4 linked regions of the Arabidopsis thaliana genome follow. The protein of the gene in region 2 interacts with the protein of the main gene of each other region in a pairwise test. Each region holds a gene or a part of one and is shown on either strand. Other genes may lie near its edges. The genes, in order: AT1G66820, UPP, ACR6 and AT1G13520.

Region 1 (6,154 bases), on a different chromosome or scaffold from region 2:
CCAAAGACTGTTTAAATCTGAGAGAGTGGTAAAATTTAATCTTTCTCTAAAGAAACACTCTTTCTAAAACGAAAATGGTCAAATTGCATGTATTTGACCTTCCAGAACCTAGATTTCAAGGCACAACAGTTTACTTTAGCTTATCAAACAAGCATACTGATATCGAAAACAGTCTAATATAGTAAAAAGCAATATAACATATACTGGTAACGTTACCAGTTAATACCACTGTTAGTACCAAATTTAACCAATAGACAAAGAATCCTCCATATGAAAGGCAAATCTAACCCAACTCGATCTTCCTACTCTTAAAGATTCACAATGTATCTTCCAGCTGGTAAGTAGCCCAATGACATTCTACAAACTTCATCGACCTTGTAAGTTGAAACCATTTTAGCAAAACAAGTAGTTTTAGATCAACTAATACATACAGTCATACAATACAGATCCTATGACTTAGACCAAGTTTTCTTTAGCGGACGGCAGGAACAAACTAGTTACAACTTCTAGTCACAAAATCGTCAGGAAACAGTTTTCTGCAGAGAAAATTGCTGTTCTCTTGCCAACCATAAACAGAACAACTTGAGACATAATACATCATCCGACACAATCACTGCATTCTTCTCCAAATGGTAAGACCAGCAAAACACACAGTTCGACATAAACTAACACATGCCCATCCTAAGATCTTAGTCTATGTTTATCAGCAAAACAGAAACTTGAAAGCCAGTAAGCAGAGATTACACATAAATACACAAACCAAGATAACCAACAAACCAAATCAATCTTTTCCCATGAATGTATTACCACCACTGCAGCAATTAGAAAGAGAAAAACTATAGCAGCACAACAGTTTAGGGAAGAAAGTTGCATACTTATGAACAAAGTAGAAAACTTTATCAATATAAATTTCATATCTTTGTTGAATCTAACATCCTTTTCAAGTCTCTCCTGCTTAATCCAAGAGAATACAAACAACATATCAAAAGAATTAACATCTCGAAGTATAAAAGAGAACCACACATTTCTTCAATTCTCCTTTCTTATCCATCCCTAATTATATTCCTATAATCCTATCAAACATTTACTTAACATCTTTCCCTTCCTTATTCCTATTGCAAGCAAATATGTTTCTTCCCAATTCATTACCCAGAAAAGTTACGATATTTATAAGGTATCAAATCTGAAATCTGTACACAACCACTAATTATTACCCTTTTTCAATGACCTTTCTTCTTCTCCAGATCAGCGAGTAAGCATCATCATCATCATCCTCTCTTGATCAGTAAGTGAGTGACGGAAATGGCAACGGTGACCGTACGGACACATAGCTCCGGTGACCATCATTCTGCAAACCTCAGTTTTGTAGCGTGGATGCCTAATCACAGGACGTAGCTCGTCGATTCCGTGAGCGAATTGGCAATTATCGCCGTAACAACAAGCTCCAGTCTCTTGCCATTTGTTACAAAGCTCCGTCTTCATCATCCCTTGACGATATACCTCAAGCTCTAATGCTTCTCTCTCCCCTTTTGTTTGTACTACACACACCTTTTGAGAAGAAGACACCTTCACAAAACATTTATGACGTCATTAATCAAATAAAAACAAATTTTAAATTTTAAAATTACAGTGAGAATTACCGAGTTAGAGCTGAGTTGACTCGTTTGGAGATCTGACGCTTCAAATCCATGGTTGATCTTGAGATATCCTTGAGATCTGACGGAGATGCTCTTAGGCAACGAGTTTCTCTCTTGATTGTTTCTCTTCGCGGAGCGAGAATCGGAGATCTGGTGACGGAATTGACGGTTATGGATCGGCGCCGGAGGAGAGACGGAGGAGGAGGATGAAGTAGAGATACGAATAAGTTTGAGTAGATCTGAGTTTTCAAAGCGGAGAGAATCGTTTTCGTGACGAAGAGAGTCAAGTTCCGTCATTAGAGATTGAAGACGGTTAAGGCAAAGCTCGTAATGCTCGTTGAGTTCGTCGTACTCGAGGATAAGTTTCGCTTGAAGAAGACGATGCTCTGTAGTTGTATCGACGCGAGATGGTGGTGAGGAAGAGGACGGAGGAGAAGGAGAGAGAGATTCCGGTGAGAAGATTGAGTTGTAGAGTGATGCGAAGCTTGCGGCGAACTCTTCTTGGTGTTTGTTGTTGAAGCTTTGTTCAGAGATCGGTGATAGTGGAGGCGGCGATGAGTTTATCGCCGTTACGCAAGCTAGATCTGTAACAGTAGACGCCGCGAGTTTCTCCATTGTTGCAATTTCTCGAAAGCTTCCTGAAGAAGATAACACAGAAATTGACAAAATTGAATCCGTTTAGATCTACAAAATCACAATCGGAAACTGAAACTTCCCAGAGAAGATAATAAGAGCGAGAGAGTACCTGAATTAGCTTTGAAACTTCTCAGAGAAGCGAAAGAGAAAGAGCGGTGAAATTAAGATATGAACGATGCTCTGTATATATATATATATATAGAGAGAACCAGAGAGGTGAGGAGGAAGAAGAAAGAGAGAAAGATAATATGCGGGAGAGACTACGAGAAGATTGTTACGCTACTTAATCTAGACCATACGATGAGATTATTTAAGGATCTGTTTGAGAAGCGAGTGTATTTAATTGGATAACGAATTGCTTCTTCATGGTTAAGTGAAGTGTAGAGGAATATTTCTCACCTACTTTCACTTTCGCGCCAACTTCAGAACCGTTAAAGATTTCTATGTAACAGAATATTATTTGTTTTTTAGATAACTTCAACAACAAAACTAGTGTTTAGTTTTACACATACAGTGAGAACAAAATTTAATATTCTATTTATATTGCTGTATAGTTTCTTAAGCTTAAGATTATAGTGACAATATTCACCATAAAAAATGTTAAATCCATTTGGTAGATCATATTTAGTCAATAACATGCATCTTCCATCCCAAAGGAGGTTTACTAGTTCGAGTATTTAATAGCTTAAAACATTAATAATATATTCATTAAGCAAGTATATAAATATGAACCTCAAGCAAAAATCTATTTTGAAAAAAAAAATAGATGGAAACAAAAAGTTTGTTAGGAGGGGAGGTTTTGTTTGTAACTTGGAGAATAAGGAAGTATGTATTGGTGTGTTTGAAGAAACAAAAATAAAGAAGAATAGGTCATTTTATTAAGTTTGGTTGGGCCAATCATGAATAAGAATAGTTAATGAATTGATGATTAAATTGGTTTTTTGATATATGCATGTATGTTTAGTTTCATGTTGTTAACGACCGTAGTAAGGTAAGGAATATATGTGAGTTTTGTTTGCTTAAAGAGCACAACTTTAACTAACTATGGTCCCTCTTTCTTTCCTATGTGTAATATACTTCAATCAAAATCTTTCGTTGTAGCTAACTAACTAGAAAATGTTTCCTTCCTTCTAACCCAACAACCCTGCCCAAATTACCTTCTTACCCTTTCTACGACATTTTAAAAACAAAATATCATATAACTTAATCCAAATCTGTATTTAACATTTTCTTGAAGAATTTGTATCTCATGTGTATCTTTTATCATTAAAAAAAACTGATAAATAGGAGAGAATCTGTAGAGACTTAAATGGGTTAAAGCCCAATATATGCGACAATAAGCCCAATAAATACCTCAACGCATATTCATCTTTTTTCTCAAATCTTATCTGATTTTCTCATCACTCATAAATTCACAATTCAGTGATCGTCATTTGCCCAATCACAAAACCAATGGGATCAACTAATAAACTCTGGAGCCGTAAACCAGACGTCAAAACCGGGAAATCAGAATTTCCGGTTACCAGATTCCTCCGTACACAAATCGATAACATCAAGACAACAACCGTCGGTCCCGGAATCGGCGGCGGCATTGGCTGCGGCGCTGGAATCGGCATTGGTCTCTCCGGCGGGCTCGGAATAGGTGCCTCTGAAGGACTTGACCATTCTAACGTGGTTCTTGGATTCGGTATTGGTTGTGGTATCGGGTTCGGGTTTGGATACGGATTTGGAGTTGGCGGCGGGTACAGTTTCGATGACATCAAAGAGAGATTTGACCTATGAAAAAAAGCTCCGGTTCATAATTCCGGGTCGGGTTTGGGTAAAAGATTTTTAAAGCATTATGTTAATTTTGTACTGTATTAACAGTTTTGTTAATTATATAAGTTCAATAAAAATATCCTCCCTTGTGTCCTTTTATTTTTCATAATAATATCACAATTATGAATGATTAACAGAAAAACCATAAAAATTATCACATGAAATTTATGAAGTAATCTGAAAATTATGAAGTAAACACATAATCTAATTAAAATTATTACTTTTCATTAATTAATAATAATTAAATAGAAGTTACCAATTTCTCGAAGCTCTCCAATACACTTCTCATGTGTGGTCTTTTATCTGGGTTCTTCTGCACACAAGCTAAACCGATCTTGATGACTTGAACCATACTATCTTCCAAATCTCTATCACGAGCTAAAACCGGATCAAGAACATACCAAGCCGGTTTATTTCTCTCACTAGCCGATTCAACCCACATAACCAAATCCATTTCTGAACTAACCGGAGATTTTCCGGTTACCATTTCGAGTATCACTAAACCGAATGAATACACATCCCATTTCTGAGACGGTTTAGTCATTTTTGAAGCTGCTTCAGGAGCTTGGTAATATGATTCTCTAGAGAGGATTGGTGAGCTTGTCTCCATGGGAGAGATTTGGTCTGATCTGATATCTGAAGACGTGTCGACGATACGACCTAGACCGAAACCGGATACTTTCGGTTCAAGATTCGGTCCTAGAAGTATGTTGCTTGTGTTTATATGTCCATGGACATACCTTTTGGGACTAAACTCATGAATATAAGTTAATCCTTTTGCTATTCCTCTCAATATTTTTAACCGGACCGTCCAGGTTAGTTGCTTGCATGACACGCTACCAGGTCTACCTGTCATAAATTTTTATGAATCAGTCTTGAATCTTAACTATGGTCATAGATTTATGCGATTTTGACACTAAAATTACCTTGAATTGCAGAACCAAGGTCACCATTTGGTATGTAATCATAAATCAGGAGTTTCTCTTCAGGAGACCAGCAACAAGCCTTGAGATTCAAGACATTAGGGTGCTTGATTTTCGCCATTGCTTCGACATCAGCTAGAAACTCTTTGAGCCGTAGCCAACCTTTATCTTCTAATCGTCTAACGGCTAACATTAATCCATTTTCAAGAACTACCTTGTACACAAGCCCGATCCTGCTCTTCCCTAGAAGAAAAGCCGAGGCTTTTAGAAGCTGGTCGAGGTCAAATTCGATTTCCGGGTCCATTGGCATGAAAACTTGTTGATTTTTGTTCTCATCTAGCGTTTCAGATTCTGAATTCCCAGTCTTGAAACAGAGAAACTCTGGCTTTGTCGTCTTCTTCAGTTTCTCGTTTATATGACATGTTCGGTTGTTTTGATCTTTGTTTGCACGAGCCGATGCTTTTCGGAGATAGTAGATGAATAATGAAGCAAGAAAAATGATTCCGGCGACTGTGCCTCCAGTGGCTGTAAGGATGATGCAGAGTCTAGAATGATGGTTGGCTCTTCTTGTATATAGTTGAGAAGGAACTACTTGTGTGTTTCTTGTGCTGCAAGAAATCTTTATCGGTAATCCACAGAGGAAAGGGTTCCCTTGGAAAGCATTTGGACCGGCATTCAACAGAACGTTGAATTTTGGTATCGGACCACTGAGATTATTGTAAGAAAGATCGACATAGAGAAGCTCAGGGAGATTTCCAAGACTTGTTGGAATCATACCTGAGAAGAAGTTATGAGAAAGATCAAGTGTACCTTTCAGATTCTCCAGACTTCCTACATCTTCGGGGATCGTTCCAGTCAAGCGATTGAAAGAAAGATTCAGTGTCCGAAGATGAACCAAGTTAGAACCTAACCCTGTTGGAAGATCTCCAGAGAAACTGTTCTTGCTAAGAACAAGCGTTTTCAGCTTCTTGCATGGAATAAGCGACAAAGAAATCGAACCGTTGAAAGAATTCTCCGAAAGATCCAGAGTCATTAGACTCTTCAAGCTACCAATCTCTTCTGGGACAAACCCGGAAAAAGAATTTCCAGAAAGCACCAAGCTTTGAAGCCCTTTAAGTCCAAAGAGTTCCACAGGTAACT
Region 2 (8,975 bases):
GTCTCTGTGCCATCGCTCAGGCTGAGTCTTTACGTTACAAGCTTCTTGGTGGTCTCGCTGTTCGTAGGTACGACATTTCTCTAGTTCGTTTGCTATGTTACTTTGTTTGATCAGTTTAGTTTATCATTAGAGACTGATTTGGATAGGTTACTAGTGTATATAAGCATTCACCGATCGTTATAGTTGTATGTTTAGTATAGAGTAATTGTTCTTATAGACTCTGTATGGTTTCAAATAGGTATTGTCTAGCTTCTAAGTGTAATGACTTTAAGTTCTCATGCAATGGTTATATGTTGTATAGGGCTTGCTATGGTGTGTTGAGGTTTGTTATGGAGAGTGGAGCTAAGGGATGCGAGGTTATCGTGAGTGGAAAGCTTCGTGCTGCCAGAGCCAAGTCTATGAAGTTCAAAGATGGCTACATGGTGTCATCTGGTCAACCAACTAAGGAATACATAGACTCTGCAGTGAGACATGTTTTGCTTAGACAAGTGAGTTTCGTCTGAGTTGTTCTTATTAGAGTTAAGTAAAAAATCAACAACGTCTAATTAAAGTGTTGTTAAACCGAATATGTAGGGTGTGTTGGGAATCAAGGTGAAGGTTATGCTTGATTGGGACCCTAAGGGCATATCAGGACCAAAGACACCATTGCCTGATGTTGTGATCATTCATTCTCCTAAAGAAGAAGAGGCCATCTATGCACCTGCTCAGGTTGCTGCCCCGGCTGCTCTCGTAGCAGATGCACCACTCACAGCCGTAGATTACCCTGCGATGATCCCAGTCGCCTAAAAGAATCCTTTGTACTAGTCGATGTGATTTTGTTTTCAACTGTTCTTGCTCTTTTGACAGATTATAGCTTCTCGTATCTTCGAATCAGACACGTTTCCTCTGTTCTTATTCGAAAATTATCTCAAGTTTCCATTGTTGAAAAAGCCCTTTTTAGTTTCATAAATCATTCTCTCTTTGGCAAATTATTCTGAATTAATTCGTAATATTACAAGACCAGTTTGTCCAAATTTTGGTACATCCATCGAATTAACTAATCGTAATTACTAATTACTAATTACTCTCATCACATGAAATATGAAAACACAAGTATTTGCGTTTAGTTATATCCACGTGTTTGAATACTAACCGTCTGTTGTTATAAAACTCCGACGATTTTCCCGCTCCGTCGACACAAACCTCCTCCGTCTTTCGTAAAAGGTTCTCGAGATCTAAGTCTCACTTCTAAAGCTCTGACAATGGCGGACGAAATCGGATTCTTCCAACTCAACACCGGAGCAAAGATCCCATCGGTTGGTCTCGGGACATGGCAAGCTGCTCCTGGCGTCGTTGGAGACGCCGTCGCCGCCGCTGTGAAGGTTCTTCTGTGATTTTCCGTCTCATGGTTTCTCATTTGACTGATCCTTAGAGATCTTTGATTAGATGTTCTGATCCTTACATAGTTTGGTTTTTCCCTCAATATTGGTTGATCTTGGGATTTACGGATTGATTTGGAAATTCGTTTCAGTAGCAGAAGAACTTAATAATCATTTCGTTTTCTGCAGATTGGATATCAGCATATTGATTGTGCTTCAAGATATGGCAATGAAATTGAGGTAAAATTCACCGATCCGAATCTGTATCTTCCATAGTTTGCTTCATATAGTTCATCTTTTGACGGCTCGTTACTTGATTTGCCTTTATATAGAACAGTATATAGTATGATCGTTCTTACTCGATTGGCTGTTTTATGTAATTCTTACTAAGGTTAACCAATTTATATTTAGGAATGACAATTGCACACATTGTCTTGTGTATCTTTTTCTTAAACTAGCTTTAAGTTATGTAGGATTAATGGAGTTATTTGTTATAGACTGTTTACAAGTTCATTTGAAATGTGGCTTTTTGTTTTTCTTGATGGAGAAATTGAAAGCTTTTTTTAACCTGCAGATTGGGAAAGTTCTGAAGAAGTTGTTTGATGATGGCGTAGTGAAGCGTGAGAAGCTGTTCATCACATCAAAAATCTGGTATTTTGTTCATGAAGTTTCTGCATCTCTATCATTTTTATGCATTTTCAGTTTCCCTCGTTTGCTTAAGCCTCTTAACCTATTAAAATCTACAAATTATGCAAGCACAGGTTGACTGATCTTGACCCTCCGGATGTACAGGACGCATTGAACAGAACTCTTCAGGATCTGCAGCTTGATTATGTTGATTTGTATCTCGTAAGCACGACTTCTTTGAACAAATGCTGATTTTTTAATAAGTTCTAACAGTTTTCAAGATCCGTTCCTTTCTTCAATATCTAGCCTGAATTGTCCGGATCTCTGGATTTGAAACTATACATATGCTTGCTTATACTTTGATTTGTTTCATTTGATATTTTTTTCAAGATGCACTGGCCTGTTCGGTTGAAGAAAGGTACTGTTGACTTTAAGCCTGAGAACATTATGCCTATCGATATTCCGAGCACATGGAAAGCAATGGAAGCACTGGTTGATTCAGGCAAGGCAAGAGCCATTGGCGTAAGTAATTTCTCTACAAAGAAACTCTCAGATCTTGTGGAGGCTGCTCGTGTTCCTCCCGCTGTAAACCAGGTGGAATGTCATCCTTCATGGCAACAACATAAGCTACATGAGTTTTGCAAGTCCAAAGGGATCCACCTCTCAGTAAGTTTTAAAACACTAAACATTTCCAAATCATTTAATGAGTCCGAATGTCATATTTATATACACTTCGTGAATGTTGATTGTGGCAGGGATATTCGCCATTGGGATCTCCTGGAACAACGTGGGTGAAGGCCGATGTTTTAAAGAGTCCGGTTATTGAAATGATTGCTAAAGAAATCGGGAAGTCTCCCGCACAAACCGCGCTTCGATGGGGACTTCAAATGGGTCATAGTATACTTCCCAAAAGCACAAATGAAGGAAGAATCAGAGAGAACTTTGATGTCTTGGGATGGTCTATTCCAAAAGAAATGTTTGACAAGTTTTCCAAGATAGAGCAGGTAAGTGAAACAATAAACCACATTTCTGCAAATTTCGTATCTGTGAGTAGTCTTAACTGTAACCTCTTGTATTTTGGATTTTGAATCATCTCTGTGCAGGCTAGGTTAGTCCAAGGCACGTCGTTTGTTCATGAGACGTTGAGTCCTTATAAAACACTTGAAGAGCTTTGGGATGGTGAGATCTGAATCAAAAGATGTCTTTTGTTGAATTTTAAAGTTGAAAAAGAACAAAGTTCCACTGCTTTAAGCTTTGATCGAGAATGTGTAAACGATTCAATTTTCAATAAAAGTAGGATTTTGCAGACATATTAACAATCTCTTATGTTCATACAGTAAATCACTAATCCGAGAGGTTGATGATAGATAATCTAACAGTTATATTTGAAAGAGAAATATAGACGAGTATTAGACTGTAGATAGAATCTGATTCCATTGGCCTCAAAGCCTAATAATTATCTTTAATAAAGCAGAAAAATCGAAAACATGAATTCGCATAAAGAGAAACTAACATTTTCAATTCAATGACAAAGCCACATAGCTAATAAATCGAAACCTCAAAAAACAAACAAGAGCTTATGACATTGTCAGATTGTCTCTCACTGTTGTTTAGCTTCGACCTTCTTCTTCTGCCAGAGCCTGTCCACGCCACTGTCTGCGTCTCCCTGCAGATGCAATCATAATGTCAATATACATATACAATCATGAACTTTGTTATAACAACTGTGGAGATGATTATAAAGTAATTAGCAGAGTGGAAATTCACAAACCTGAGCACGGACAAATCCGCAGAGAGCAAAAGTGGTGAATTGGCCAGTGTAGAGACCATTAGCATCAAGATGACCAATGTTAAGCTGAACTGAAGCATGATCCTTTGATGTGATCATTCTGTTTGTTGCCGAGCTAAACAAATTACCATTACACAACAATAGAATCAGCTTAGGCTACTTAATTAAGACAATTAGCTTAAGATTTTAATCAAACGTTACACAGAGAACAAAGAGAGCTGATATATACCATTTCCTTGGAATGTAGAGCTCTGTGACCTGACCTGCGTCGTTCTCCATTTTTGAGATTTAGCTTCAAAAAAAAATCGATCTGAGCAAGTAAACAAACAAAAAAACTAATCAGATGAGCAATAGAACCTCGAATTAAGAGATTCATCAAGAATAATTGATCACATTCAACAATAATATATAATCAACAAAAGACACAACGAGATAACTAATTCTGAAATCGAAACCTAGATTATTCCGATGCGTTAATTAGCAATACAGTGAAAGGAGATTAAGATACTACGGAGAAATTCTCACCTGCGAGGAAGAAGAAGAATCTGAGAGAGGTTTGGCGGCGACAAAGATAGGGTTTGCTTAATTCATAGGTTTATTAGATTTATAGTAGCGAGCTAGGGTTTGCTTATTTCATAGGAATGACTACTATACCCTTCAACTTTTAATTGAAGAGCAATAAAAACCGATCCAATTAGAGCGGTATACAAAATTAAATCAAACCGAAATACTAAACTTTTTCAACCAGAATTGTACCGACAGTTAATTGTAACCGGAATCGAACGTAACCAAACCATAAATACTGGTTCAGTTTGGTAGTAACTTAAGTTCATTCAATTTGATAACAAACTTTTATTATTGGTTCAAATGTTTGCTTCATGGATGAATTTTTCAGATTTTCTTGCATACTTTTTCCCAAAATGGTTTGTGGTAGACAATTGAGAATGATACACATAAAATGGTTGACAAGTTTGTTCTCTGTTTTGTAATAATGAGGAATTCAGTTTTTCTTGTTTGTGAAATTTTGACTCTTTATCGAAACCCTCTCAAGAACCTGAAATCACACATCAAAAACAAAGTACAAGAGACACAATATATAATCTAACGATTGTGACTGTTAAAGTTTAACAACTCATACAAGTATCACTTCACCCAATGTGTTTCTGTCCCGAAACTGCGGTCTCCAGCGTCTCCAAGCCCAGGGATTATGTACCTAGTTCATGACAAATACATAAGGACATTAAAATACAATCGCCAGTTTTCATATGGAAAGCCAAAGAACCTAATGACTTACCCCTTTTCATTGACTTCAGGATCAATAATTCCAGCATATACATGAAGCCTGAAATGTTTCAAATAGTAGCCAAACAGTTTAGTAAAAAGAGAGTTAACTAAATGGTAAGCAAGGTGAGAGTTGATCTTTTGCTATTGATTACCCGGGGAATTTCTCGTTAAGCTTCGATAGTGCAGGAGGTGCAGCAATCGCACAAATCTGTAATCAGAAAAATCAAAACAATTAACACTTCGATTTCTGACAAAAGCTGTTTCCTATATATATGCTTACCACTTTGATTTGCTGAACAGACAAACCACGTTCCTTCAATAGATCCATCGCCGCCATTATGGTACCACCTAAAATACAAGTTACTAAGTTACTAAACCTACGCTTCTAGCTATGAAACATTCGTATTACCATGTCATGCGTTCACATTCACATATTATCGTGTACATTTGAACATCAAACCCTAACTATACTTCTAATATGGAGGTGGCTAAAATGATAAGACTTTCTTACCTGTGGCAAGCACTGGGTCGACCAAAAATACTCTTGAATTCTTGGGAAATTCATCAGGCAACCTAAAGAAGATGTATCAAAGGTGTTATTATAAACACTTCAGTAACTACAAACACAATGCTGCAGAGAAGTTCTTACTTGTTAAGATACACCGATGGTAAAAGTGTTTTCTCATCTCTACTTACTCCTGTAAAAGAAAAGAAGCACGGGGACATCAATAAGCTATTTGATAAAAGTTTTCATTTTTGACATCCGAAGTTCAGGCAAGAGATGATATATAGCTAGATTACTAACCTAAATGATAAATTTTATTAGCAGGTAAAACTGAGGATGCGTGTTCCGCAAGAGCAAGACCAGCTCTTAATATCGGAACAACCTACACAGAGACAAAACCAAGAATTAGAAACGCTTACATGTAAGGTCGAAAAGAAAATATAGACAGGAAGAGTTTGAGGGATAAACAAACCGCAATAGGCTCTCTAGGATCAATGAATTCAACAGAAGCAGGACCCATTGGAGACATTATTTCACCCACAACAGTTGGCTTAACCGCATAGAGCAAAAAACAAAAAACAATAAGCAAAAAACGGGTAGGAAGAATTCAAGAATAATAGAGATGTGAAATTCTACGCACCAGCCACTCTCGTGATGCTTCATACATGAGTAATCTCCCTAGTTCAGCTATTGCATTCCCTAGATAATTAAAAAAACTCAAGCTTTAAAGATCAACACAGACTTATACTAGTAGCAAACCTAAAAAAACTCATATTCAAACGCAATGTAGCAGATAACACCAATCTAAGAGCTAAAGATTGTCCAACGAATCAAAAAAAAAAAAAAAAAAAATGGATGTAAAATTCAGTTCTTTAACAACAAACACTGGTTAAATCGCAGAAATACTCATAAGAATCTTATCTACTCACTGAAAACAGGACAAGGAGTTTGTTCATTTCTCAGAACAGAGATCCAGTGTTTGATCAAAGGATGTGGTGGCACAAAGACCTGAAACACCAGAATCAAATTCACATCTTTCACTTTCAAATCAAACTCAAAAAAAATCTGAAAATTGAAATCCTAGAGTTTTATTACCAGCATCCTGTTGCTCCCGTTAATGGAAGCCTCCGACGCAGCCATTTTTGTTCTAGCTCGTATAGTCCGTCGGGAAAGTGACGAAGAAGAAGCACCCAAATTCTTTAAAATAATCCAGAAATTCGAAAATCAAAATTCAGTTTGAATATGCAAAAGGCGTTACTGGAAAAGTGTGCTTTGGACATTAGAATAAATATATATATATACTCGATACCTGTGCGAGAATTGGGGAGGAATTAAAGGAGAGGAAAGAGGAAGGATTAGGGTTTAGGCGGCTGCTGCATTGTTGTCGGGGAGCAAAACGCAGCGTATCAGAAGAACACCTGAAAGCGTTACCAATTGAGCACGCCATTTTCGACGAGATGTCCGAATCTGGTTCGAGATTTTTGCAATGACGATAGCGCGGGCGAAGATTAACCGGTCGTCACTACTGTACCGAATAACTTTGGGTCTACTTATTACACGGCCCATTGGGCTTTTATATTAATTTTTAGCAATTTCTTTCCAAACAGAAATCTACAAATTAAGGAATAAATTAATAAATAATTTATTAATTTACATAGAGAGTTTTCTAATGTAGTAACTTTTTAAAAGTTTCTACAAGATATTTTTCATCATAGAGAATATCTTTCTAAAACCAATTGCAAGTAAAAAATAATTATCATGTCTATAAAACAATATCAAAAGTTTTGATACAGTAAAATATTATAACTAAATTCAAATAAGAACAAATACGAGTTTAAGCAAAAAAATATTAGAAATTTCTTACATATAATATATTAGATATATATATATTTTATATTTATACAATTACTAATTTATAATATTGATGGGATCATATATTTACATAGGATTTTCAAAAAAATTATTATTTTATTAATTTATCAATTTGTGTCACTTTTTACAGTCCCAACTCGGGACTGGAAAAAATTATTAATCTTATATAGATTATTAATTTATCGAGTATTAATTTATAGAGGTTTTACTATTACAATAAACTTGAAAACTTATTTAGACTAGACTCCTTAACTCTTCTCCTCTTCAACTCATTCATCAGTTTTTGTAACAAATCTCTGAAACTGTACAAACCAGACACGGATTCTTTGTCTGAGAATTCAGGCACAATTAAGAAGTCCTAAGCCCTGTTTGAAGATTCTCAAAAGTCTTTAACCAAATACAGCAAAAAATGTTTAGAGAAAGATCAAACCACAATCAAAAGTTTGTAAACCGAAATAGCAACAAAAGTCTAGAGAAAGATGAAACAACACACATAGAACCATGTCTTGTGGATGTAAGAAAGATTCACTTACCCTCTGTAGCAAAGTGATGTCTTTCTCAATGGTAACTTTCACTCTCGGCTTGATAGCTTTAATCGCTCTCTCCTCGTATTTGGCGAGTCCCTGAAGATCTGAATCTATCACTTCCTCAATTCTCTTCTTCCCAATCTTTGTCCTCGTAGCAAAATAAGGGAGCTCGGTGACCGAAGAGGCCACAAAAGCAAAATCGAAGACGTCATCATCTCCGTCCAGAGCACGAATGAGTGACTTTAGAAACGATATCATAGCGTATGCTGAAGTGAAAGATCGGGAAGCCTAGATCGGAGATAACTCGAAATGTTAAGTCCCGCGAAAGAGGAAGAGAAAAAAAGAATTCACGGAAGAAAAAAAACTTAAAACGGAGGACAAAGACGAGAAGGAAGGTGATTATCATCCGATTCACTTCCAACCCGACGATTGAACACTCCAAGTTAAACGAGAAAGAAGGACTCACGGTCCGAGTTTCTAAGGAACATCCGAATTTCTTTCAACTCTCGGTCATACTTCGCAAAAGGTAATCGGATTTTATGACCCGCATGTGAGCTAAGCTTTAGCGGGTTAGACCGAGTTAAGAGACATAGAGAATCCGAGAGGAAGTACCCCGAGAAAAGAAGAACCAAGAAAAAACTTGATCCGAGAAAGGAGTTGTCGTTAGGTGGTTAGATATAATCTTTTTCAATTAGTAAAATTAAAAATTAAAATTTTTTTATATATATAATAGCAAAAAGTATGAATTGTTTATAATTGATAAAATATATAATACTAAATTACATAATAAATTTTATAATTGGTTCAATTGAAATTCAATATAATAATTGCACAAATGCAAGATAATTGATACAGCTATATTGTAAAAGTAATCGAAGGATGTGTAGATTATCCAAGTGGTTAGGATTTTATAACTTGTACAATATCTATTTTCACTGTAATATAACTATATAAGTTTACAACCCCGTACAAGACATTTTACACTCGAGGATCTCCAATGTTACTATTATAAA
Region 3 (9,442 bases), about 20 Mb from region 2:
ACATAGGCACAGATATGTACCTTCCTCTGTATCAGTGTATTACAGATATATATGAGCCAGCTGTTTGTATATATATAATATATACATTGTTTTATAACCCGTAGGGACATATCTTGGTCAGGTGTTGGAATCAGACTCGGACCATTATACTTCGACGATAGAACTCTCTAAAGCTTATTTTAGGGTTTAGTTCAAACCCCACCTTTCATCTCCCTATCGGCTTTGTTTCACCGTAAGAGGTAAAAAAAAAACGAAATTTGAAAATATAAAAATATGAAATGAAGATATATTTATAACAAAGCACAACATTAATATTGTGCAAAGAGAGACATACACACAGATATTTATAAATGGCAAAGACCAGATAAAGCTGAAAAGATAGCATCACGCTCGTATTCTTTCTATTTTTTATTTTGATATCAATTTATATATTTTGTTGTACTAATTAATATAGGCCAGAGGGCTCTCGTTTCCTGCCATCTAACCCTACCCGTCCGATCGATCAAAATCTCTTTTTTTTTTTTCTTTTTCTCTCTAAAATGTTTTTTTTTACAAGAAGAAAATCATCTTTTTATTGATAATCATAAAACGAAAGATTTTTAAAGTTTTGTATAATGTTAGCCTTGTATATACATATTTAAACTTTGAAGAATAAAAAAAAAAGCCAAAAACAGAAAAGAGCTAGATCAATATACAAAGGAATAAGGAATGTTCAAAGTTTCAAGTTTCAGGCGTTGAATACGAACTTCAGAAATGTTCAAAATACCCTTATTGAAAAGCATGTACATACGCTACTCGAAAGGGTTAATATCGGAGAATCGGTTGAACAGATCAAACATTGTATGACAAGTGTTACGTAAGTCTTCTGTCAGGAAAACTAGATTTTTAAAAAAAAAATCAAAAATCAAAGGTAAAGCGATCCGACAACCACAATCCGACAAGATTATTTATCTTTTACGATTTCTCATGCAAAGATTTTTTTCCAGAAAAGAAATACATGAGTTTAAACACTAAAAGAAGTAACTTTCTTTTTCAGCTAGAGGGAGCATAACTGTACGGACTTCTCTTACTATATTCAATATACATATAAAATCTTCTCTTCCATCAATCCTTCGTTTTAAATCTCATTTTAAGATTTAATTTATTGTGGAGCTCAAACCTGAGACACACAAAAAAGGCATTTCGTGTATAAAGGACACAAGCGTGGAAGCCAAAAGCATGTCACAAACTACAAACTTTGTAAACTTTGAAGAAAAAAAAAAAAGGCTTTTTCTATATAAAATTGTTCAAATTTTAATATTGTTATAATTAAACCCATCCAAATTAATTCATGGGTGCTGTTCTTATAAAATATGTACACATCATAATTCTCGAGTCATAATTCTTTTTCTATATATATAAGGAGGATGCTATTAATCTGGATAAGAAACATAAGATTCTGACTCCTTAACAAATTATGATGTGATGATTACACATTTGCTGGATTGATGATTACTCGGTCGTATGGAATTATATATTTTACAGAGTAGAATGGAATAAAAGAAAAACCCTGCCAAAATCCATATTGTACAGATTGAGGGAGCTTATCTACGTGGAAATTATGGTTTCTTACTTTATGATCATGTATCTGAAAATACAAAGAAAGAAAAAGAGAGAATTAAGTGGTAAGAAAATTAATGGTGAGAGCGGTAAGAGCCGACAAGAAGGACAGACGGAGCCGTCTATTACCAACAACTCCCTTCTGATAAAAGCCTGTTCTTCAACTCTCCTTGCCTTTTTTTTTTTTTTTACAAAAAAATGAAATTATTCCGATAACTATTATCGGTGTTTGTTTTCAACAGCAATCACTATCTTGATGTCATCGGTTTTAATTCATATGTTTTGTTACTTTTTTTCTTTTTTTCATGGAGAAGTAAATAGAGGTCATGTTATTATACACAAATAATAAAGAAAGAAACAATAATACTAATAATTAGAGGAAAACAGAGTTAGACTCAGAGGTGTAGTAGGCCTCTATAAATACTCTGCATGGCTCTCACTCTCTTCTCACCAACAAACTTTAGCCAATCCCTCTTTCTCTCTTATTCGTGTTTAATCTAGTTTCTTTCCAAACAAAAGTGTAACAAGAGAAAGAGAAGAGATATCAAAGATGCAATACCAGACAGAATCGTGGGGATCATACAAGATGAGCAGCTTAGGATTCGGCGGTTTGGGGATGGTGGCTGACACTGGTCTGCTTCGTATAGAGTCCCTGGCTTCTGAGAGCGCGGTGGTGATCTTCAGCGTGAGCACGTGCTGCATGTGCCACGCCGTGAAGGGTCTCTTCAGAGGAATGGGCGTCAGCCCCGCCGTCCACGAGCTCGACCTCCACCCCTACGGCGGCGACATCCAGCGAGCCCTCATTCGTCTCCTCGGCTGCTCCGGCTCCTCTTCTCCAGGGTCTCTCCCGGTCGTCTTCATCGGCGGTAAACTGGTTGGAGCTATGGACAGAGTCATGGCTTCTCACATAAACGGCTCTCTCGTTCCTCTTCTCAAAGACGCCGGCGCTCTCTGGCTCTGATCCCTTCCTCTGCTTTCTTTTTTCTTTTCTATTTGAAGTTTTCTTGTAAGAGAATGTGGTGGAGGAAGATTAGGAAACTAGTCAATGGCTGTAATGACAGGTTTTAGATTATAGTTTGTAATTAGAGAGAGAGTTGTTTTAAGCTCACCTTTCTCTGTCTTCCTCTTCTTCATCTCTTATTGATCTTTCGAATGCTCTCATTAAATCATAATAGTAAACACTTTGCATCTTTATTAATGTCCCCTGGATCCATTAATCAACGGTATTAACTGACGCCGTATCTATTCAAAGGCAGTTCCTGTTATTTTGTTCACACAAATTTACACACAAGGGACTTGTTGAGAGGGGATCGCTACGATCAGCTTAAATGATGCCCTACTCTGTCTAACCTATACAAAGCACACACACACTCTATGACTATGAGTGAGATAGGTGAAGCTTGAAGCTACTTGGGTTTGAAGATGTTACTTAGCAAATACCCCATTGTAGTTGTTTCGTGCGAAGGCCTGCTTGTACCAAGAACAGAGCAATGCTCCTTCTCCTTCTTCTTCACCTTCAGCTTGCTTACTCCTATCTGTTGTCTGATTGACTCCACGATTTTTGATTCAACCGGGTTTCCAGTCACGTCTGTAACGTAGAACGTGTCTTTAGCCTTACCCTCTCGCGTTGATATCTCTGCTCTCACAATGGTTAAGCTGTTCTCTCGGAATGTTCTGGTTATGTCTGAGAGAAGACCAACTCGGTCTTCTGCTGATAATTCCAGCTCTAAACCCTGAAAGTATGTTTCATATGCACAATCTGTCTTGAGTATATCAGAAATCGATGCAGAACAGAATGTAATTTGAGCCAAGACAGAGAATTTTCACATTCCTAATTGGTTACCTCCGATGCTCTCCTCTCAATGGCTGCTTCCAGACATTGTATGACACGTTCTTGCTCTGCTTCTGAGTTTATGGGAAGTCCATCCACATGACGGATGTAAAATTCCTGCAGCAAAACACTCATATTATTGTTAGAAGAGAGATCCCAACAGACGGCCGTTGAGTAGTTACCTGATAAGCCTCCACTGGTTCTGTGCTGACCATGCCATGGAACACCACATACTGCATATCAGTCAAAGTACAGACTACGTCAAACACAAGCTTTGGTCTATCTTTGGACCTCATGGTAACAACGGTATAATCCTTCTCAATGTTCATTAGTGTGACACTGGGCCTTGACGCCGATGTCCTTGCTCTTTTGACTCCCTCGTAGTCCCTATCATCAAACATGATCTGATGCAACCGTCTCTCCCTGTGTGTATCAGAACAAGAGAAGACTGTTTTCGCAGCTCTTGAGCCGCTGTTTGTCCTCACTACATTGCACAGCAGCTCCTTGATGGTGGAAAGGCGAATCGGGTCAGTAATGGCAGAATGAGTTGAATTGTCCGTGACATGAATAACCGCTGCAGCTCTGGTGTTGTGAGTCCATATCTCAGCGTTCACAACGTTGCAGTGAAGGTCTGTGAGAACAGCAGATACTTCAGACAAGAGACCGGGTCTGTCAGTTCCAGCGAGCTCAATGGATGTGTATTCGTCAGTGGGCATTACACCAACTGAGCTTCTCAAAGGTGGAATGAACCACCCAGCGTTGCTCTCTATCCTCTGCGCAATGAATTCAACAAACGTTTTACACAAAGAAAAAAACCTGTTGAAAATGAAAGAAAAAAAGTGATGAAATACATTAGAAACCTTTTGGATATAGTCAAGGACTTGAGTGTCTCTGATCTTATTGCCATCTTGGTCGATGACTTTGAAAACGTCCATGAACCAACCTCCATCGGAAGAGATGTAAGCTTTCTTGATCACAAGATTCATATCAGTGAGCACTTGTACTACTTCCAATAGAGTCCCATGTTTGTTCACACTATCAACCTTTTATTTAGCACCACAAACAAACAGGGAACTCTGTTTTCTCAAAATCTCTTTGTTTGGTACAGAACCACTTGAACAATTTGAAGAGACAGATTTATTTACCTGAATAACAGTGGCATCGTCGCTTGCGTTGTTGTCTATTACAACTCTGTATCCACCATGAAACATACATAAATAAAGATGAATGTTTTAGCAGCTGGAATCTTTACAAGGGTATAGAGGCTCACAAACGGAGCATGGAGAAACAGAGGACCTAGAAAACAATAAAAGAGTATGGAGAGAAAGAGAAAAACCTGGGAGGATTCATTCTCCTGATGAGCTTGGCATATTCATCATCATCCATGGTTGTAGTATGTATCTCCTTGGTGATTTGGCTGCAGCAGAAACCCAGAAGAGTGTGAGTCCTCCAATTTCTGAGGAAAATTCCTAAAAGAGAGAGGGAGAGGGAAGTTGAAGGAGGATAAAAATGGTAGGCCACCGGAACCGAACCTTGTTTTCATTAGTTGATCGAGCACGTGCCACTAAAGATTCTTAGAGATGACGTGGCACGGGCACAGCAACTTTTAGATTCTGTTATAATTGTTCGAATACTACCAAAAGTCGGGTGAAGATTTGGGGTCAATTTGATGATCATAAAGGGGATTATATTCTCCTTCTCAAGCAAGATGTGGTATTTACTAGTATAATAGATCATTCGTTATCTTGAGGTAGACCTCTCCGTAACGTTCACAGGTGCATGACCAAGTAACAATTTGATTCCTTTCCAGCATAACGTCATGTTGGTTGCAAAAAGAAGGCAAAGTAGAGCAAGCAAGCAAGCAAAGCATTTTTCTTATTTTATATTTTGTTGCGGATTCCACCACCCACTTGAAAAATTGACATGTCACAATGATTTCGTATCCTAGTCTTTTATTATTTAACACTCTCACAATCCCATTACTCTACACCTCTTTCATTAAGTCAACACACGGTTTTCAAAAATCCACTACCCTCCCACCACCTAGAATCTTTTGTTACCTACCAACACCCTCCTTTGTTCTCTTTATATATTGGTCCAACTAAATCAATAAGGGAAAGCATCCTTTTGGTTGGAGGAATTGCTTTCATTCTCACTCTTTGTGTGTTGATCAATGGACTAGCTAATAACAAGTTCCTCCTCTATATATTTCAAAAGAATGGAACAGAAACATAAACGAAAGACAGAGTACCTGATGTTGATGATTCATTGTCTGTCTGGAGCTCCCAAATGCCTTTTATGCTTACATATTCATAACCAACAACGGCTATTAATTATAAACCAAAAACACGAAATAAGTTTGTAGCAAAGTGAAATTAGGAATCTTGGAGATGGATCCATTAGTAGTAGGATAATAGGATATGATGGAATTTGGTTGGGGAACAGTGATAACTTACGCTTGCTTCCGGCGCCGGGAAAGTTGGAAAACCTACAAAGTACAGAAATGGATCTGGGCCTTGAAGTGGGCTTTTTATTAAAGAAAAAAATACATCTCCGTTATCAATCACCATCTTCTTCTATCTACAAATTAAAGAAGGTAACAACAGAACGTGGTGGATCATGTGGTTAGGCATTAATTATTTGCTTTGTTTCGCCGTTTTGGTAACACACAGACACAGTTCCGGTAAGAGCTTTTGCAGCCACTCTTTATAGTTATTTAGAATTGGCGATCGAATCAATCTCACTCCCTCCCTCCCTTAAGTCTTGTTGAATCTGCTGAATTGTTTTATAAAGAGTTACTTTGGCAAAATGGAAAATCCGGCGAAGAGAGTGTTGATGACATCCAACGGCGACGAGGTGTCCCGAAACATCGCTTTCCATCTAGCCAAACACGGTTGCAAGTGAGTCTCTCATTTTGTCTTCTTTCCTCCTATCCTGTGTTTCTTCTTCTAGCCCCGATTTGTGTTGTGGTTGACTTTGGTGTCTATAGTTAACCTTCAAAAAATGCAATGTACTGTTGCTAGGTTGGTAATGATGGGAAATGAGGGTTCCCTAAGGAGCATTGTAGACAAGATTAGAGATTCCATTGAGGGAGCCTTCCCTGCCGATGTTATAGCACTCGACATGGAATCTGACTCTGAAGTTGCTTTTCATGCCGCTGTCCAAAAGGCATGGGAACTTTCCGGCCATTTCGATGCTTTTCTCAACTCTTATACCTACCAAGGTTTAATTTGCTTCTTGTTTTTCACTACCCTGCCTTTGATGCTCTTGTGTGTTGATCATTCCTTTATTCAACAATCTTTCTTTCTTGCAGGAAAGGTGCAGGACATTCTTCAAGTCTCTCAAGATGAGTTCCACAGAATCACAAAGATCAATCTCACCGCTCCATGGTTTCTCTTGAAGGCTGTAGCCACAAGGATGAAGGACCATGGATCAGGAGGCTCCATTGTCTTCATGGCCACTATCGCCAGCGGAGAGAGGGCGCTTTACCCTGGCGCTGATGCCTACGCTTCAACTTCTGCCGCTATTCACCAGCTCGTCCGGGTATGCATCCTAGCTCCTAATTAGACACATCGCGTTCGTAACTTGAATATGTTTGTTGATGATTGGGTTTCAGGCATCAGCCATGAGTCTCGGGAAGCACAAGATACGGGTCAACATGATCTCTAGAGGGCTGCATCTGGATGATGAGTATACAGCTTCTGTGGGAAGAGACCGAGCGCAGAAGCTGGTCAAGGACGCTGCACCCCTCGGCCAGTGGCTCAACCCGGACACAGACCTCTACTCCACTGTTATCTACTTGATCAGCGATGGCTCACGCTTCATGACAGGCACCACTGTCTTGGTGGATGGAGCGCAGTCCCTTACGCGACCCCGTCTCAAATCCTACATGTGATCAATGCCTAGTATTATTATAATTCTATGTTGTGTGTAAAAAGTGAATATGAATCAAGTTTGAATAACTATGGAGGGATGAATAATCCATGGAATCAATGATTATATACTTTTGACAAGTATAGAAGAAAGCAAAGAGCCAAAATAGTCAACAATCTCAACATCATTCGAGCTCATTGTTTATTGAATTCAATCAAGTTTGGTAGGTGAACCTCAAATACACGTGATATTGGATATTATCTTGGAAACCTTGCTAATCCAAATTGTAAATCAAATAAGAAAAGAATGATTACCTCAGAGATCTAGATGCATATTGATTCTTGACCAAGAAATATGTTTGAAATTTGAATCCATTGAACCAAAATTTGAAGGAGTTGCATATATAATAATATAAATCAGAATGATGTAGCCGCCACACCTTTTTGTTTCCACAAAACTCTTTTTCTGTGATGGATCCGCTAATGTAGCCATATTTTCAATATATATCACTTTCTCTGGCATCTTCGCTACCGTGTACGTCTCTCTTTCTCTCCCTCCCCTCCTTGGCTTTTTTCAAGTTCCCACCATAAACGCAGAGGGAGTTAAGAAATGGAGGATAGGAGGTGTGATGTGTTGTTTCCATGTTCATCATCGGTTGATCCTCGCTTGACAGAGTTTCATGGGGTCGACAACTCTGCTCAGCCGACAACATCATCCGAAGAGAAGCCAAGGAGTAAGAAGAAGAAGAAAGAGAGAGAAGCGAGGTACGCGTTCCAGACAAGAAGCCAGGTTGATATACTGGATGATGGATACAGGTGGAGGAAGTACGGCCAAAAAGCAGTCAAGAACAATCCATTCCCCAGGTACGTACTTAATCATCAATGAATGATACTGTATGCTTGCTATGGTGATCAAATAAGAGACTCATATACATACATGTAAAATATGAATATATATATATATAGGAGCTATTATAAGTGCACAGAAGAAGGATGCAGAGTGAAGAAGCAAGTGCAGAGGCAATGGGGAGACGAAGGAGTGGTGGTGACGACATACCAAGGTGTTCATACACATGCCGTTGATAAACCCTCTGATAATTTCCACCACATCTTGACACAAATGCACATCTTCCCTCCCTTTTGCTTGAAGGAATGATTAGAGGAATTGGATTGTAATATTTACTTTCCCAAAAACGTTGGGCTCACACCATCAGACCTTTACTTTTAAACTAGCAGCAACTCACATATCTCAAAAATACTAATCCTTATCTTTGTCTTTATGGGACCTTTGAATCCATCTGCTTTGGTGTCTTAGTCTCGGCTGCCCTGTAATCGAAAGTATATTCATCATCAAATTACCAAACATAAAGAAGCAATGATGAGTCTATCATCTACAAAAACAATGTTATGTATCCCAAACCTACCGATTATTCCAAAACTAGTGACAAGCTAAGGATATTGTGGAGATGAAGATGAGAAAGAGTACGAAAGCTAACTTTGAGGTTTCTTCTTGGATCCAATTGCGAATATGCTTCACGTTTCGCTTTAGAACGGAGGACGCTTTCTTTGTTAGGCCCATTAGCCTGGGCTCTCGTGTTTTTCATAATGTCAAGTCAGCCCAACAAGCCCAAATCTTTACAAAAAGAACCAAGGACCATGTCATCCGGAATATGGTGATATTATTGGATTATACCATTGGACCATTTAACACAAAAGCAAATATGCAACAGAATATATATAGATCACATAACAGTCAGAATCTTCTCAAAAGATATGCTTTCTTCCTTTTCTATTCTAGAGTGTTTTGATGACATCGGCACGAAGATAATGTTATTTTACAGATTTAGCTAATTAAGTCTTTCGTAATAATTATCAAACTCAAATTGTTGCGTTTTAATTTACCGCCGCCACAATACCGCACGAAGATAATGTTATTCGCTTGTGAATTTCTTTATATTAATCTCTCACGAATAAATTAATTCACATTCTTACATAAATCGAAACTTATCCACATTTTCTTGATTCTTTTCAAAAGTTATACGAAAAAGTTAGTTACACAAAATTTATTAAACACGGATAAAATAACGGTTCCTTAATCTCAACACTTTCACTTTTTTCCGAACCCATTGAATGGAAAAAT
Region 4 (7,962 bases), on a different chromosome or scaffold from region 2:
AAGTTTTCTTCTATGAGAATGTTCACAATGAAGATTGTGTTGAGGTCGTTGTTGATGTTGATCTTGAACTCCAAGTGATTAACATTGAAGGACAGAAGGTTAGTATAGAGACAACGAATGTGGATGCTAAAGGGATTGTTTGGTTCCAAGTTAAAGACAAGAAGATAGGTTTAAGGTCAGTGGTTGTGGAGAGGATGGAAAGTGAAGAGGAGAGTTTCGGGTGGAAGAAGGTAGACGGAAACCGAGTGACGGTTAAGAGATTGGATCGGTTCGAAGGCGGTTCATCGCATTGGAAGAGTTATAAATGTTATGTATTGGTAGAGAGATTTGAATTGAAAAGAATGGATGAGAGTTTGGTGTTGACATATGAGTTTAGACATGCTGATAAGTTGAGGACTATCCAATATTGACTTGTGAGCTTCTCTCTTTTATTTAGTCTTCTGCTTTTACATTGATGTAAACTCTGTTTAAAATGAAAATAAAAATGTCATCTTTCAGAGTTGTTGGAGCGTTGAATACTTCATGATGCAGAGTGGTGTCATGATACAGAGAGGCGAAGACTTTGTTTATCTTATTTTAGAGACACTTGATGAGAGGTGAAATTAGGGTAGGCTAGGATCTTTAAGGAGATCAAGTAAGTTTCTTTGAAGTTTCCTACAACGAGCCATCCAGAAAAGTCAAGTCACCTTGTCAGTTGCTGTTCTACAGAGTTGTTTACTCTATAATATAGGATCAAGTTTTTCTCCAAGTCCAAAACTCGATTTAGTGAAACAATGTACATCACAAGGAGTTTCTCAGAGTACCGGAGGAATCCAGCAGAGCTAACACAGCCTCCTCCTGAGGGTCCAAATTCTGGAATTTTGGTAATCCAAGACCAACACTCACGGACACGGGCTACATCTTGCTTCGGCTCGTGGTTGGTTGTGGACTCTTCTCTAAGTGGTTTGCCATTGCCCCAAAATCTTAAGCTAGCAGTCACATTCAATATTGGAGGTGATGACAGCACTCGTGACCCAGTTGTGTTCATTCCTGTTCTTGATAAGCCTCTATCTTCAAACTGTTATTACGCTATTAAACGGCATGGGAAGCATTCAGGGTATGAAGTTTAATCCGCAAATCTGAAATTCTTGAATCTTTCTTCTTATATAACCTGAAAAAGTTTATAAAATTTTGGTTGCATTGCAGGGAAGCGTCTGGAAGTGCAAAAGAGGACGATATAGTCTCCTGCTGCTTTTGCTCTAGTTTTGTTCCTGAAGCCAAACCAAAACAGTTAGATCCTTTTGACATGTACCAACAATTCAAGATCCATCAAAAGGAGCCTTCCTCGCGTTGTTACTACGCAACATCTGTCGCTCCTGACGGGGTCCCACCATGGTTTCTGAGGAAAAAAGAGTGGACGGTTGAATACTCGAGGTTCCAAGACTTTGAACTGAGAGATGATGCAAAAGGACTCATCACAGAGCTTCGTACTGAGCTTCCTCTTCTTGGTATGAGCACTGTGGTTGGGAAGTGGTATGTCCCTTTCATATTCGTGAAAGAAAGAGAGGTAAAGGATCAGATCAAGAATTCGATGTATTACAGCATGACTCTTGAACAAAGATGGAAAGAGCTTTTTTCTGATGAGAACGACAAAAGCGAGAACCGTGATGTTGTCGTTGATGTAGAAGTAGAAACAGAAGTTGTTAAGCTTGAGGGACAAATGATTGAAAGAGGTCTGGAAGCAAATGGGTTTGTCTGGTTTGGGGTTGGAGACAAAAAGATCGGTTTAGGATCAGTTGTTGTTGAGAGGATGAAATGGGAAGAAGAGAGATTCGGGTGGACAGGCAAAGGCGACAATGAGCGATCAATGACAGTTAAGAGATTGGAGAAATCAACAGATGGTAGCCTTTGGAAGCATTATCATTGTTATGTTCTGATAGAGAGCTTTGTCTTGAAGAGAATGGATGAGAGTTTGGTCTTAACATATGAGTTTACACATGTAGATAAGCTCAAAACCAAATGGGATTAAGCTTATCACGCAACCAAATCTGCAAAAACTTTCTCAATCTCAATGACATGAATCCATTGGTCAGTGTGATTTATCTATAGCCATTTTCAATTCGGTTTTTTCCGTGTATTGTGTTTTGATATTATCTTCAATCTTTTTGGGTGAAGAAAGAATAAAATATAGAGTTTGTTTGTCTTCTTACTTGTTAGTACTCATCCACAGGAGATTCTGACAAATGTTTAAGTCAAACCTCAGATTATATTTATAAACAATAGCTTAGTAAACTTCCTTGCACGTTCTTATGATCCTTTGTTTTATATAAACGATGACAGGTTAGATCTTGAGTAACAAAGAATCAAGGAGAGATGTATGTAACAAAGCGTTTGTCCGAGTACCAGAGAAACCCATCGGAGCTTACTTTCCTTCCAACGGAAGGTCCAAACTCCGGCGTATTGGTGATTCAAGACGAAGAATCACAGCCTACATGCTGTTTTGGCAAATGCTTTGGTTGTGATCTCAATGGTTTGCCGTTTCCTCAGAACACAAGAGTCACCGTTAAATACCAAATCGGACGTTAGTTACTAGTCATTTCACTCCTAACTTTCTGTCAATCATTTTACTTTACTCTGTTTCTGTTTCTTCTCTGTTTATTATCTAAGCTTTGATTTCACCATAGATGGAGATGACAGAATTGTCTTGCTTGACTCGGTCGCGTTCATCCCCGTTCTTCACCAGCCTCCTTCTTCCAATCTTTACTACGTTATAAGGCGAAGAGGGAAACATGCAGGGTATGATTCTATTGAATCTTTCTCATGTTATGTAGATATCAAAGTTTATCGTTTTAGTTTTAATTAAGCCAAGATTAATAGTTTAGCGGCCTAAATTCACATCTTTTAAAACTTTGATTGGTATTGCAGAGAAGCATGTGTTAGTGCAAAAGAAGAGGACAAAGTTTCTTGTTGCCTTTGTTTTACTTATGTCTCTAATGCTACGCCAAGGCTTCTTGATCCTTTTGACATATACCAACAATTTGAGATACATCAAAGAGGCTCATCAACTCGCAAGTTTTTCGCTACATCTGTTGCTTCAGATGGAATACCACCTCGGTTCCTGAGGAGAAAAGGCTGGACCGTTCCTTTCTCTGCTTCCCAAGACTATGGTTTGATTGATGATGCAAAGGGTGTAGTTGATGCAAAGCTGCGCTATGAGCTTCCCGATTTCGGTAAGAGTGTAGTAGTTGGAAAATGGTATGTTCCGTTTTTGTTTGTAAAGGAAGGAGATGCTAAAGATCAGATGAAGAAATCGATGTATTATAGTATGACACTTCACCAAAGATTTGAAGAGGTTTTCTTCTGCGAAAACGTTGACAATAAAAATTGCGAGGTTATAGTTGATGTGGAGGTAGAAACAGAAGTGGTTAAGCTTGAAGGAGAAAATATTGGAAGAGAGACAAAAGGTGTGAATTCAGATGGAGTTGTCTGGTTTGGTGTCTCAGAGACTCAGAAGATAGGTATTGGGTCTGTGGTCTTGGAGAGGATGAAATGGGAAGAAGAGAGGTTTGGGTGGTCGAAGAAAGGCAATGAACTAAAGTCTAGCATTAAGAGAACTGAGAAATTTGAAGGCGGTGGACCACAATGGAAGAGTTATAGATGCTATGTACTGGTAGAGACCTTTGAACTGAAGAAAACTGATGGGAGTTTGGTATTGACGTATGAGTTTAGACATGTTGATAAGTTGAAGAGTAAGTGGGATTGACTTTATTTCAGCTTCTTTGTGTGTTATGTGTTCAATTTATGGTGTGTTCATTTTATTGAAAGGTTAATGCAAGTTCATGTGTTATGTGGTGAAGCTAACTTGCACAAAAAGGGTGTATACTCTAAAAGGAAAAAAACCTCAAAAGTTTTGTAATTATTTTGTAGAAAAGCATTAGCTAGTGCCAAAGAGTAAGACAGAGTCCCCTGTTTCTTTTGCTTCAGTTTCTTCCTGAAGCTAAGTCACAAGAAGCAGATCCTTATAGTTAGGTCAATCATAATATAAAGAAAATATAGAATTTGTTTGATTGATTCTCCATGATAGGTTTGTGAAACCAGGTCAAGGTCATAACTTTGGAATTCTAAAGTTTGAATTGAACCATAAAGTAAAAAAATTTGAAAAGTCTTCAAACGATAACTTGTAAAATTTGCTTACCGCGTTATCCTCAATACATGGTGCAATATATAAACATATCATATCTCTTCTAATCAATAACCTGATCAAGATTCTGAATTCAAGATGTATGTTACAAGGCATCTCTCCGAATACCAGAGAAACTCGTCGGACTTGACACGATCGTTGCCGGAAGGTCCAAACTCCGGCGTACTTGTGATTCAAGACGAAGAGTCAAAACCGACTTGTTGCTTTGGAAATTGCTACGATGGTGAACTCAAAGGCTTACCGTTCCCACAGAACGCAAAGCTGACTGTGACTTACAGAACCGGAACTGGTAATGACAGGCGCAGTTACCATGACCAGGTTCTGTTCATTCCGGTTCTTGATCAGCCTTATTATTCGAACCGTTATTATGTCATTAAACGACGTGGGAAGCAATCAGGGTATGGCCAAAAATCTTAATTACTTTCTTGACTTTGTTTTGTTTTTTTGAGGTTTTAATCAATTTATGTCATGCATGGTTCGAGATACTTGCTTTTGGGTTTGGTTTTCTTGGGATGGTTTCGGTTTGACCGGATTGGCCACCCCTTTTGACCTGACTTGCACAAATGGTATTCATTAAAAAAAAACTAATTTTGGATTGCAGAGGAGCTTCGGCGAGTGCAAAGGAAGAAGACAGAGTCCCCTGCTGCTTTTGCTTCAGCTATGTTCCTGAAGTTAAGCCACAAGAAGCAGATCCTTATGATATATATCAACAGTTCGAGGTCCATCAACGTAAACCATCATCAGGCTATTACACTGCCACTTCAGTTGCTCCTAATGGGATACCACCAGAGTTCCTTAAGAGAAAGTACTGGACCGTTGAGTATTCGAATTCCCAAGACTTTGGTTTGACAGATGATGCAAAAGGGATCAACACTACGCTTCGTTCCAAGCTTCCCAACGATATGAATACAAGTGTTGTGGTAGGGAAATGGTATGTTCCTTTCATATTTGTGAAAGAAAGAGATGCAAAAGATCAGATTAAGAGCTCACCTTATTACAGCATGACGCTTAAACAAAGATGGGAAGAGGTTTACTCATGCGTAAACGTTAACTACAACCAAAAAGGAGGAGAGGTTGTAGTTGATGTTGACGTAGAAACACAAGTGGTAAAGCTTGAGGGACAAGAAACTATTTCTAGAGAGACAAGTGGTGGTGGATTTGTTTGGTTTAGTGTTTTAGGGGATGAGAGACAAGACAAGAAGATAGGTCTTGGGTCTGTTGTCGTGGAGAGGATGAAATGGGAAGAGGAAAGGTTCGGATGGTTAAACAACGGTGAAAGATCTAACATTAAGAGATCAGAGAGATTTGAAGGCGGGTCATCGCATTGGAAGAGTTATCGATGTTTGGTATTGATAGAGAGCTTCGAATTGAAGAGAATGGATGGGAGTTTGGTGTTGACATATGAGTTTACGCATGTTGATAAGTTAAAGAGCAAGTGGGATTGAGTTTTTTATTCATCTTTGTTCAGTTTCTTTGTGTGTCATCTTTTGGTTCAATAATTAATTTAATGAATAAGTTTTATGCAATTTCATGTAGTAATTAAAAAAAAAAAAAAGTTCGCATTTAAATTCACGTAAATTTCAATTATGAATCATTTATTTGATCATTCTTCTTAAATGTTTTTTTTTTAATATTGTAAACTTGTAACCCTCATTCCAACAACTATGGCCCTCCATTTTTTTAATATAAATCAAGTTCTTTGAAAGTTGCTGATAACGTGTTTTGATTCTACTACCAATTTAAAAGTCTTCACATACGAGTTTAGACATGTTTATAAGTTGAAGAGAAAGTGAGATTGAGAGCTTTTCCAATTTGATTCTCATATCTCCATAATTTATTTAATTTTATGATGTCTCTTAAATTCTGCTTCAAGTTCTGTTTTTTGGGGGCTCTGTTTCAATACAAAACCTCTGTTCTGCAGATTGCTCAAATGAACAATTATGAAGTTAATGGTCATAATTTGGAACTCAAAGTAGATAAAAACTTAAGTTACGTGATAGAATTTAAAAACAATGTGATGTGAATTTAAAAACTGCCAAAAAGGACTTCCATAAAAGCTAAGTCAAAGATCTCGGAAAAGTCTTAAAAAACAATGTTGATTGAGCCGCTAGTGAGATTATTTTTTCTAGTGATTTGAGTCTTGTCTTGTAGGATTCTTGTTGCTTCTCTACCACAACTATATTTTGTAACTTTTGCTCTCTCTTATCTCAATTTCTTAAAGGTTTGAGATGGTAGAGTTACTTGACTTGTGAATTTTTTGGTTTGAGGGTGCCTTAGAAATTGATTGCGTTAGAATGGTTGGAGCGTTGAATACTTGACTGATGCAAAAGGTGTGGACAGAATCTTCATGATGCATGCAGAGTAGTGTCATGATACAGAGAGGCAAAGACTTTGTTTAAACTATTTTATAGATACTTGATGAGAGGTGACAATAGGGTAGGCCAAGATCTTTATGGAGATCCAGTCAAGTTTCTTACAACGAGCCATCCAAAAAAGTCAAGTCACCTTGTGTTCTGAAAACTTGTTGAGTCTATAAAATATGATCCAAGTTTTTCTCCTAGTCTAGATATAAACGATCACTCGATTTGGTTTACTCTTACAAAAATCAGTGGAAATGTATGTTACGAGGTGTTTGTCAGAGTACCAGAGAAATCCAGCAGAGCTAAGACAGCCTCCTCCTGAGGGTCCAAACTCTGGAATTTTGGTAATACAAGACCAACACTCACAGACACGTCCATGTTGCTTCGGCTTGTGTTTGGTTGTGGACTCGTATCTAAGTGGTTTGCCCTTGCCGCAAAATCTTAAGCTAGCAGCCAGATTCAATGCTGGAGAAGATGACGCTACTTGTGACCCAGTTGTCTTCATTCCTGTTCTCAATAAGCCTCTATCTTCAAACTGTTACTACGCTATCAAACGAGTGGGGAAGCATTCAGGGTATGACTTTGAATCTTGAAGATCTGAAATCTTGCATCTTTCATCTTATATAACCTAAAAAGTTTCTAAATTTGTTTTGGTTGCAGAGAAGCGCCTGCTAGTGGGAAAGAGGAAGACAGAGTCCCGTGCTGCTTTTGCTCTAGTTATGTTCCTGAAGCCAAACCAAAACAGCTAGATCCTTATGACATGTATCAACAATTCATGATCCACCAAAAGAAACCATCCTCGCGCTACTACTACGCGACATCTGTTGCGCCTGACGGAGTCTCACCATGGTTCCTTAAGAAAAATAAGTGGACAGTCGAATACTCAAGGTTCCAAGACTTTGAACTGAAAGATGATGCAAAAGGACTAAACACAGAGCTTCGTACCGAGCTTCCCGGTCTTGGTATGAGTGTTGTGGTTGGGAAGTGGTACGTCCCTTTTATATTTGTGAAGGAAAGAGACGTAGAGGATCAGATCAAGAGATCGATGTACTACAGCATGACTCTTGAACAAAGATGGGAAGAAGTTTTCTCTTATGAGAAGGATAAAAGCCGAAACTATGATGTTTTAGTTGATGTAGAGTTAGATACTGAAGTTGTTAAGGTTGATGGACAAGAGATTTCAAGAGGTGTGGAAGCAAATGGGTTTGTCTGGTTTGCGGTTGGAGACAAAAAGATTGGTTTAGGATCAGTTGTTGTTGAGAGGATGAAATGGGAAGAAGAGAGATTCGGGTGGACTGGCAAAGGCGACAATGAGCGATCAATGGTAGCTAAGAGATTGGAGAAATCAACAGATGGTAGCTTGTTGAAGAATCGTCATTGTTATGTTCTGGTAGAGTGCTTTGTCTTGAAGAGAATGGATGA

Evidence for each region.
Region 1: the proteins of UPP (region 2) and AT1G66820 interact in a two-hybrid assay, tested with the Arabidopsis thaliana proteins (one large-scale study listed by BioGRID).
Region 3: the proteins of UPP (region 2) and ACR6 interact in a two-hybrid assay, tested with the Arabidopsis thaliana proteins (one large-scale study listed by BioGRID).
Region 4: the proteins of UPP (region 2) and AT1G13520 interact in a two-hybrid assay, tested with the Arabidopsis thaliana proteins (one large-scale study listed by BioGRID).

What each region holds. Positions count from the first base shown.
Region 1 is NC_003070.9:24,926,368-24,932,521, forward strand, and holds AT1G66820 (glycine-rich protein), read left to right. Parts: upstream 1-3,519; 5' UTR 3,520-3,725; coding exon 3,726-4,055; 3' UTR 4,056-4,260; downstream 4,261-6,154. Other genes in the region: AT1G66810 (Zinc finger C-x8-C-x5-C-x3-H type family protein), read right to left, coding at 1,246-1,566, 1,641-2,252; AT1G66830 (Leucine-rich repeat protein kinase family protein), read right to left, coding at 4,333-4,940, 5,018-6,154.
Region 2 is NC_003074.8:19,951,997-19,960,971, forward strand, and holds UPP (uracil phosphoribosyltransferase), read right to left. Parts: upstream 7,080-8,975; 5' UTR 7,011-7,079; coding exon 6,873-7,010; intron 6,854-6,872; exon of another isoform or gene 6,761-6,853; coding exon 6,659-6,760; intron 6,572-6,658; coding exon 6,493-6,571; intron 6,263-6,492; coding exon 6,204-6,262; intron 6,114-6,203; coding exon 6,036-6,113; intron 5,946-6,035; coding exon 5,864-5,945; intron 5,757-5,863; coding exon 5,708-5,756; intron 5,632-5,707; coding exon 5,570-5,631; intron 5,407-5,569; coding exon 5,339-5,406; intron 5,267-5,338; coding exon 5,211-5,266; intron 5,117-5,210; coding exon 5,069-5,116; intron 4,988-5,068; coding exon 4,918-4,987; 3' UTR 4,594-4,917; downstream 1-4,593. Other genes in the region: AT3G53870 (Ribosomal protein S3 family protein), read left to right, coding at 1-67, 302-488, 574-786; AKR4C11 (NAD(P)-linked oxidoreductase superfamily protein), read left to right, coding at 1,242-1,361, 1,548-1,598, 1,933-2,009, 2,120-2,207, 2,376-2,651, 2,741-2,989, 3,089-3,175; AT3G53890 (Ribosomal protein S21e), read right to left, coding at 3,586-3,651, 3,757-3,889, 4,004-4,053; AT3G53910 (malate dehydrogenase-like protein), read right to left, coding at 7,860-7,904, 7,969-8,228, 8,429-8,450. UniProt on the Arabidopsis thaliana protein: Uracil phosphoribosyltransferase (UPRT) that catalyzes the conversion of uracil and 5-phospho-alpha-D-ribose 1-diphosphate (PRPP) to UMP and diphosphate.
Region 3 is NC_003074.8:325,630-335,071, reverse strand, and holds ACR6 (ACT domain repeat 6), read right to left. Parts: upstream 4,974-9,442; coding exon 4,963-4,973; intron 4,936-4,962; exon of another isoform or gene 4,848-4,935; coding exon 4,767-4,847; intron 4,622-4,766; coding exon 4,576-4,621; intron 4,474-4,575; coding exon 4,291-4,473; intron 4,204-4,290; coding exon 3,613-4,203; coding exon of another isoform or gene 3,562-3,612; exon of another isoform or gene 3,548-3,561; coding exon 3,443-3,547; coding exon of another isoform or gene 3,431-3,442; exon of another isoform or gene 3,359-3,430; coding exon of another isoform or gene 3,333-3,358; coding exon 3,006-3,332; 3' UTR 2,950-3,005; coding exon of another isoform or gene 2,919-2,949; 3' UTR 2,561-2,918; coding exon of another isoform or gene 2,150-2,560; 3' UTR 2,010-2,149; downstream 1-2,009. Other genes in the region: ROXY1 (Thioredoxin superfamily protein), read left to right, coding at 2,150-2,560; AT3G01980 (NAD(P)-binding Rossmann-fold superfamily protein), read left to right, coding at 6,239-6,330, 6,454-6,973, 7,047-7,325; WRKY45 (WRKY DNA-binding protein 45), read left to right, coding at 7,913-8,166, 8,269-8,458. UniProt on the Arabidopsis thaliana protein: May bind amino acids.
Region 4 is NC_003070.9:4,629,520-4,637,481, reverse strand, and holds AT1G13520 (hypothetical protein (DUF1262)), read left to right. Parts: upstream 1-4,182; 5' UTR 4,183-4,258; coding exon 4,259-4,578; intron 4,579-4,781; coding exon 4,782-5,625; 3' UTR 5,626-5,849; downstream 5,850-7,962. Other genes in the region: AT1G13550 (hypothetical protein (DUF1262)), read left to right, coding at 1-410; AT1G13540 (hypothetical protein (DUF1262)), read left to right, coding at 774-1,096, 1,186-2,008; AT1G13530 (hypothetical protein (DUF1262)), read left to right, coding at 2,353-2,560, 2,664-2,775, 2,905-3,742; AT1G13510 (hypothetical protein (DUF1262)), read left to right, coding at 6,795-7,114, 7,201-7,962.